Regions from separate parts of the Mus musculus genome. Here region 2 is reported to be linked to region 1. Evidence: microRNA targets listed by miRTarBase, many of them from high-throughput screens and not tested one by one. Region 1 holds a microRNA gene; the other region holds the end of a gene's coding sequence.
What was found. Region 1 holds the annotated microRNA mmu-miR-15b-5p (UAGCAGCACAUCAUGGUUUACA, at 3,112-3,133, shown strand). A microRNA usually pairs through its seed, bases 2 to 8, with sites in the 3' UTR of a target mRNA and lowers its output. Matches are read on the target gene's strand: a 7mer-m8 pairs with bases 2 to 8, a 7mer-A1 pairs with bases 2 to 7 and ends in A, and an 8mer does both.

Region 1 (4,408 bases):
GCTGAAAACCAAACTTGGGTTCTACACAAGAAAAAAATTGCTGGGCCCCCTAGATTGCCTTTAAAGAGAAGGTATAATTGAGAGCGTAGAGCAGGCGGAGGGTAGAAATTAAGAGCTACTGTGAAATTCCTGTCACCATGTTACTGAAGTTTGTGAGTTTCTTAAGCTGAGCCATGTGGAGAGTTGGATTTTCGATTGTTAGGGTTGCATCTCCTGCATCAGGGAATCCGTTTGTTGCAAGGTTTTCTTTATGGTATATTGAGTATTTTGACTCCTCTAAGTACAATGTGTATACCACACATTTTGTGACTGGTCTGATTGCTTTCACGAATTTTATTTTACATAAAACTAATCTGAAGGATTATCCATCCCCATGAGTTTAGGATATGTTTGTATGGAAGATAAATTCCTAGGTTTCTTTAAGTAACATCCCTCCATTGTGTTCTTTAAATACTAGCAGATGATAGACGTTCAACTAATTACACTAATGTAGGCTTTCCCCTCTTTGCCTCTCCCTTAACCTAGAGCCTCCAGGTGAGGAGCTGGATAACAGAAGTTTAGAGGAGATTTTGAATAGTATCCCTCCACCCCCACCTCCAGCCATGGCCAGTGAAGCTGGAGCTCCTCGTCTCATGATAACTCATATTGTAAACCAAAACTTCAAGTCCTATGCTGGAGAGAAAGTTCTGGGACCTTTCCATAAGGTACTGCCTGCTCAGATAACGTGGAATACATCTTTAATTACAAGATATTTCAGTGTTCTAACGGTCCTGACTCTTTACACACATATGCTCATAGACGCACAGACAGTATGTTGCCTGTGACTTCAACAACAGGAATGAGTTTTTCTTTATCTGATGTCTTTGGTATATCTTTAGCAATATTTGCATATTGAATGGAATCTGTTTTTGTTAGAAGGGAATGTTTTCCCCGTTGACTGTGCTAATGAGTTTTGTAAAATGTCGGGATTAGAATTTGAAGGTGGTTTTTATTTAAATGGTGAAGCTTGTGCTATTGAAGAACATGATGTAAGAAAACTCAGATTGTGTTTTCCTTCAGTTCCCTGGCCCACTCCATTCCTAGGGTGCTTTCCTTTTCTTAATAAACTGCTTTTATTTCTAAAGAGAAAGAAAGAAAAAGTGTTTATCTTCTAATGAAAACTTTTAATGATACCTTTGATTTTTATTACAAATTAAATTATGGAGTAGTTTAAAATTAGTATTAAGTGTGACTATTTAAATTTTTAAAAATTTACTTTTATGCAGCGCTTTTCCTGTATTATTGGACCAAATGGCAGTGGAAAATCCAATGTTATTGATTCCATGCTTTTTGTGTTTGGCTATCGAGCACAAAAAATAAGGTCTAAAAAGCTATCGGTACTGATACATAATTCTGATGAACACAAGGATATTCAGAGTTGTACTGTAGAAGTTCATTTTCAAAAGATAATTGATAAGGTAAGATTTTCTACTTGCACCTTCAAGCAAGAAAAGGAAACATGCCACATTTTGTTATTGTAGATCTGAATTGTTCTTTATTTTACTTTGTGTATAATTAGAGCAATAAGAAATGGATTTTGCTTCTGTGAACATATTTACTTCAGCTTTTTGGAAGAATACAGTGATGTAGGGGCCCTAAGTGCTAATTCAGCATTCACTCACTATAAATATGGGCTTCATTTGAAAAGTTGTACATTTTTTTGCTTTAGGATAAACATTTTAATTTTTAAAATGCAATAATTGACTCTAAAATGTAATAATTAGTAGCTATGTGAGAGAGAGAGAGAGAGAGATGAAATTTTCTAAGGTTTGAACTACCGTGATGAAGTATGTTTTGAAATGGTAGGGGACAGGCATCTGTTTAATAGCTTAGAAAAATTCATGGTTCAAAAAGCAACGGAAAAGAACCTTAAAAAATAAGTGCCCATAGTAAAGTAACAGATAATTGGATGCTGGTGGGGATGTTTTACATATAAAGAAATTTAACTACACAGAAGCATCTATCAGAATTTTGCTTCTGAATTCATTCTGTTGCACATTTGAGTTAGAGAATTAGATTGCCAATAAGTCATGATAGTCTAGTACCTGTTGTTTAATTAATCCAAAATTAAATATGACACGGAGCCTTTTAAGAATAAATGAACTTTAATGCTAAGATGGACTTATAACTTGATTTCCTTTATTATGTATATGATTGCAAATTTTTATGATGGTTTACTTCTAATTAATGATAGGAAATGCTGTTTAGGAAAGGGAATCCTGTCTCCCTACACACACAAACACACACACACACACACACAATCATACACAATCTTTACTCGCAGACCCTACCACTACCAGAAAAGTATTTCCCCTAAATATTTTCCTTAAATTGTTTCTTCTTGAAGCTTTTTAACAGTCACCAAGGTTATCTGAGTGGAGTGGGTTGTTGTAGATATGCTGAGGTCTTGTTCGCCTTCCTTGGCTCTCATTCAGATATATTTTGAATAGGCTGAAATTTGTGTTTGCTTGGTTTAAACTTTTAGAGATTTTTGAGAAATAAACCAAACAACTTGGAGAAGTATCTAGTCCTTTGTAAAGCAATTTATTTTTTATCTCACTTTAAAATGGTTGTCAGCCTATGGCCATACATAATTCAGGGGAAATAAAACAAGCAATAGGTGAAAAGGATTAAAATTCGTTATATACATCTGAATCTGTTAAAGAATACAAGAAAAATATTTAATCTGTTGAATTAGTATCAGTATAAAGTAAATGAAATCTGGATTAAACCTGTGATTTAATACCAACAGTTTTCGGGTTCTGTTTTTCCTAAAAACAGGAAGGAGATGATTACGAAGTCCTTCCTAACAGCAACTTCTATGTATCCAGAACCGCCTACAGAGATAGCACTTCTGTCTACCACATAAGTGGGAAGAAGAAGACGTTTAAAGATGTTGGAAATCTCCTTAGAAGCCATGGCATTGACTTAGACCATAATCGATTTTTAATCTTGCAGGTACGTTTAAAAATTCTTCCAAGGTTCTTGGTTTTTGATTTTTGGCTTGTACTAAAGCTTGAAAGAGTGTTCTTCTGTTTGCTGAGTCCTGTCTTTTGGAACCTTAAAGTACTGTAGCAGCACATCATGGTTTACATACTACAGTCAAGATGCGAATCATTATTTGCTGCTCTAGAAATTTAAGGAAATTCATTCAAGATTATATGGTACCATCACAGTTGTATTATGTTTGGATATCTGACATGCTTGTTCCACTCTAGCAGCACGTAAATATTGGCGTAGTGAAATAAATATTAAACACCAATATTATTGTGCTGCTTTAGTGTGACAGGGATATAGCAACTCATTTCTGTTTGTTATTTCCCTTTAAGATAACAGTTTAGATAAAAATCTTTTGATAATCTGTCCCTTTTGTTTATTGATATTTAAATATAAAATAATATAAAAACCATATACTTGATATCACAACAAGTTTTCCTGGGTACCTAATGTAATATTTTTAACATTATACTTGCATAAAGGTTTACTCTGGGTGAATTTAATTTGTTTATGAGGACCTAATTTCTTAAACCAATACTGTTAGTATCAGTTCTTAGAAATATAAACACTAGGTTCCTGGTATTTTTTTTTTATTATTAGACCTTGTATTTTATTTGTTTCTTGCTTTTTGCTTGCTTGTTTGTTTATTTTTCCACTTTTGGTGTGATTATGGAAGTAAAAGTATATTCTGATAGTGTAACAGAAGGAAAATTTTGTCTTTCCTACTTTTTTTTTTTTTTAAATACAGCCTTGTTAGGGACTATGAAATTGCTGTTTTGATTTAAAGGCTTTTTTTAAAATACTATCCCAGTCTACTAAGAGCATAAATAAAATGTAAAAAGAGAGATTGTTATGCAGAGCAGCTGTGCCTTGTACAGTACATCTTGTGCTACTGATTTTGAAAATAAGTTGGGAGTTTCAATGTGATTTAAAATGTTCTGTTGTGTAACTAAGTGTTCCACTAACATACTTTTCACAAATTTCACATTATATTCTTAAGGCATTATTATTATTTGAGGCATACACAGTATAAAAGACAAATGATAATTTTCTAGAATACCCCTTAAATATCAGAACAGTGCATTTACAATAATTTAGTGAACCAGTGTTACTTAAAAGTAAATATTGAAAAGAATCAGTTGCAGATATATGTGTAAATAAGATTTGGATTTATATAGCTGTAATCTTATGCCACTGTAGGTATTTTGCTTTGTTTTTTAAATGAATTGTACTGTTTATAGATTTCCATTTTTTCAGGAATTTGGCTTAATTAATTGGATAAAAAGTTGTATTTCTTTATAATCTTAAATTTAATGGTGGTAACAGTTTTGTAGGGAATTATACTAATCTTTGGTTTATTCTTTGCTGTGTG
Region 2 (4,408 bases), not on the chromosome of region 1:
TTACTATATGCCCTGACAATAAAATCTATTTCCTGAATATATTTCATTTTAGAACAGCATATCTGTTTGCTAATTAAATAATCAGCATTATGTTCAAGTTCAGGAGTTAGAATTTTTAATATTAATAGATTCTGATTTTAGAGTAATCAAAACACCAAATATGAATGGCCATAGGACATAATGTACTATTAAAATCTTGCTACTAATTTTATGTCATTAGTTTTTTTCTAAGACATTAATTAAAAATTCAGTCTTTTCTATTGGCATTAGTCAAGGAAAAAAACACACCCACAAAAGAAAAAAAAAAAACCACACTTAATCTAGATGTTTCTAAGTAAACGTTCCCGTTCCTCACTAAATCTCAGGCAGCTGATTTAGTTACTGTTGCTAACACCATTGTGTCATCTCTTTGTATACATGTCTAATTTATTAGTTTCTTGTAGATTGTCAGCAGCCTGCTGCCTCCGTACCGCCACAGTGCTCACAACTAGCTGGGAGGCAAGACTACCCAACGGTCAGGTAAATTCACAGGTCCTTCCTTCTCCCACCAGCTGCATGTCAGCTCCCCTTCCCAAGACCATAACTACCTATGCATCTTTATGTTATTGCATGTTTTTCATGAATTGGCTACATGACTTCACCCTTGTTCATATTTCCAATGAGCATGCACAGGAGTTAGTGCTATGTCATCAACCACTAGTTGATAGAATAGAGGCTGCTTCATTTCCCCTTTGTGAGAAAATACTTGAATTATTCCAGTGTTTCATTGCCTCCAATCTTAAACATGTAATTGTTAAGTTATTTGACCTACTTTTCTTTTACTTTTTTGTCCTTCAAATACAATTCTCAGGTAAACAAACAGGGAAAATATATGAAATTATATATAAAACTTATCTGATGTCCATTCTAGGACAGTTTTAATGGTTTCCATTTTCTGTTTACTCAGTCCCATTGTTAAAACTGAATTGAAAAGCCATTTGTGGTAGTACATACCTGTAATCTGAGCAGTTTGGAGGCTGTGGTAAGAGGTGGAGTTTGAATCAGAATGAGGTATATAGTGAGTTCAAGGCCAGCTTTTGATACAGAATAGCTGTCTTCAAAATCTATAAAAGAAAAAGAGGAAAGGAGGAAAATGGAGAGAAAAACTCAAATCTGAATTCCCAAAAGAATATTTGCAGTGATTATTTTCCCTTTATCTGAAATGAAGTGTTTTAAAGGCATGTTTAAAACTTCCTTGAGCCAGGCAGTGGTGGTGCATGCCATTAATCCCAGCACTTGGGAGGCAGAGGCAAGCAGATTTCTGAGTTCAAAGCCAGCCTGGTCTACAGAGTGAGTTCCAGGACAGCCAGAGCTATACAGAGAAACCCTGACTCAACAAAACAAAACAAAACAAAACAAAACAAAACAAAACAAACAGGAAAAAAAACTTCCTTGAGTTCCTAGGCACTGAGAGGAGAGTTTGCTGACAGTTCATATTTGATTTTTAAGCTGTCCAAAACAGTTTCTAGTTCCCTCCATCCTAAGTGACTACCCACGGCCTAGAATCATCCCATCAGAACTTTCTCATCTCCACAGTGTCTTTCATCCTCATTTACTTGGTTTCTGTTGGTACCAAGCCTCTGGAATCTGGATATGATCTTTAGAGTCTACTTACTAATATACATAAATGTATCTTTTGTTCTCCTACCAGAGGAGGGTTTGTATCAAGCAAGGATCAGCTCAAACATGATTCCATGTGTGTGTCTAAGATGAGTAGCTGTTATTTGCAGACTATATGTATTCTTGCCTTTGCTGGATAATCACCAATACAGAAACAATATATCCAAAGCTAGTATGTTATGTGGTCTATTGCCTAAGTAAGTAGAACACTGCCCCCAGTGTTGTAGACTGAACCTGTGCTCTCTCATATGTTAGGTCAAGGGGTCTACTACTGAGCTGCATTCCCAGCCCCCAAAGTACATTGATAAATAGTCACTAGACAGTGTCTTCTGATTAATGTCTCTTAGAAAGCTGATCAATACCACTTCAAGTAAGAGGATATTTATCTCAGAACTATTTTATTTATCTCAGAACTATTTTCTTTTTTTTTTATTTATTGACTTTATTTTTTATGTGTATTCTGTTTGTATATATTTATGTACACCACATGTATGCATGGTACTTGGGGAGGTCTGAAGAGGGCATTGGATCTCCTGGAAGCAGAGTTAGAATGGTTGTGAAGTACCATGTGGGTACTGAGAATTGAACCTAGGTCCTCTGCAAGAATAACATATACTCTTAATTACTGAACCATCTCCCCAGCCCCTCAGAAATGTTCTTTACTAATGTATTGATGGCATTTATAGTAGTAGCCAGTTCTGTATAATTTCAATTATATAAGTAACTGAATATTAGTATGAATGCTCAAGTTGATCTGAGAGGGATTTTATAGTATAGTATAGTGTTTGGAGACCCGGACACCTGTAGTCTAGATTCCACAAAGCAGCCTCCCTCAATTGGGGCACTAGGGTAGTGTCAATGCAGTACAGATGCTCCATGAATGCAGACTACATGTGTGAGTAAATGGGCTTTGGAGTCAGACTTCTACCTTGTAATTCTACCTCTTACATACCTACATGTGTAATCTTGGAAAATTGCTTCTGTTGGCAATGATGATGATGATTTATAAAGTAAGGAAGAAAATGGACATTGGAGGAATTCAATGATGAAGGGCCTGACATGTCTGCCCTGTCTGCTGTTAGCACTAACACTTTGTACATTGCCATCCCTGACCAAAATTTTGTTTATTTTGTGACAAATCTAGTTTTCTTGGACAGAGTTGTAATACTACTGCTTTAAGAATTTCCATGGGCTGGCGAGATGGCTCAGCGGATAAGAGCACTGACTGCTCTTTCAATGGTTCTGAGTTCAAATCCCAGCAACCACATGGTGGCTCACAACCATCTGTAATGAGATCTGACGCCCTCTTCTGGAATGTCTAAAGACAGCTACAGTGTACTTACATATAATAAATAAATAAATCTTTAAAAAAAAAAAAAAGAATTTCCATAAGGCAGTAGTGCAGATGTATTCCTTCTGTTCTGAGATTACTAAATTTAGGTGCTTCCTGTCTCCATGGGGGGTGATTTGTTGAAAGAAAAACAATTTAGAGAATTACAGACACCCTAGTTTCTATCCAAGTAGACATAGCATATCCAAAGCAGACTTTTCTTTCTTTTTATAGTTCACTCAAAGAAATTATTAATGCGTAGAGGTTTGAAAGGAGTCCTCTTCAGGGTGGCTTGGGTTCTGAATGGTTTCTGCTGTGAGAGGATCAGAGTCAGTTCTGCACTGCCCTCTTACTCCTTCTGGGCAAGAAGGGCAATATACAACCAACATTAGAACTCTTACTGGGTACCAGGCAAGGGTAAATTCTTCACATGTGTTAGTCATTGCGATTCCTGTATAAGCTAAACAGCTATTATACTTTTCTAAAGGAAGAAGTCTAGGTTTAGGCAGACAAAACAACTGTCAGGTGCCACATATTTTTTTAATACAATTGAGCCAAGTGACCTAACACCTATTCCCTGTCCATTGTAGAGCATGGCTGCACCTCAGATAAGGAACCAGTCATTGTACCTACAGTTGGTAAAAGAAAGCCTGTTTAAGTTATGCTGACTCAGTTTCTTTCAATTGAAAAGTGGATTCTCAGTGAAACATGAGAAAATTTTCTAGGAATGCTGAGTGAGTTCAGATCAGCTGAGTTTCTCATTTTGAAAAAAAAAGTTTACTTCCCTCCTGTTTATATGTATATATTTATGTAATTTTTGTAACTTTTTTTAGTACTACAGATCAAATTCAGGGCTATACATATGTAATCTACTCACATAACTTTTAAGGTGTATAATTTCTTAATAAACAGTGTTTTTACACTAAAAATGTAGAACTTTTCCACATATGGTTTTGTTTTTTGAAACATAGTCTTCCTATGTGGTTTAGGCTTATCATGAATTCCTTGAACTCTAGGCTTCAAGTGATCCTCCTGCCCCAACCATCCAAATAGCTTTAACTGTAGGTGTATGCCACCATATCAAACATTTATGTACTTTGTTTTTTAGCATTGATTAGAGTTTTTATTTGAATTATCATTCACAATCTATATAAGTAATATACAAGGCATGGAAAACACCACAAAATAATATCGAAATATAAGGTAAGAGCACAGTATGTCATTTCAATAAATATAATTCAAAATTTTTGTACTTTTTGCAGGCTGATTCTATTCTAAGTTATTTAAATCTTTATATATAATGATGTAATGGGAAATGATGTAACCTTGGACATAATATATTAAATATATAAATTAAATATATAAAAATGTTTACTATCTATCACATCTGCACATCTGCTAAGTTGTGTTTACCAGGAA

Region 2: the mRNA of Bicd1 is a reported target of mmu-miR-15b-5p. The part of its 3' UTR that is shown has no 7-base or 8-base seed match.

The regions. Positions count from the first base shown.
Region 1 is chr3:69,006,664-69,011,071 of GRCm38, forward strand. It overlaps Mir15b (microRNA 15b), which reads left to right and starts at 3,109; the gene lies at 3,109-3,172. It overlaps Smc4 (structural maintenance of chromosomes 4), which reads left to right. Exons shown (of 24, transcript NM_133786.4): 3 at 526-704; 4 at 1,266-1,457; 5 at 2,821-2,997. Mir16-2 (microRNA 16-2) reads left to right here and starts at 3,239; the gene lies at 3,239-3,333.
Region 2 is chr6:149,549,907-149,554,314 of GRCm38, forward strand. It overlaps Bicd1 (BICD cargo adaptor 1), which reads left to right. Exons shown (of 9, transcript NM_009753.4): 8 at 444-519. The coding sequence ends at 491. It overlaps Gm38931 (a long non-coding RNA gene), which reads right to left. Exons shown (of 3, transcript XR_869630.3): 2 at 994-1,103. Among named protein-coding and RNA genes, the nearest start is that of Gm38931, 2.4 kb to the right of the region's middle.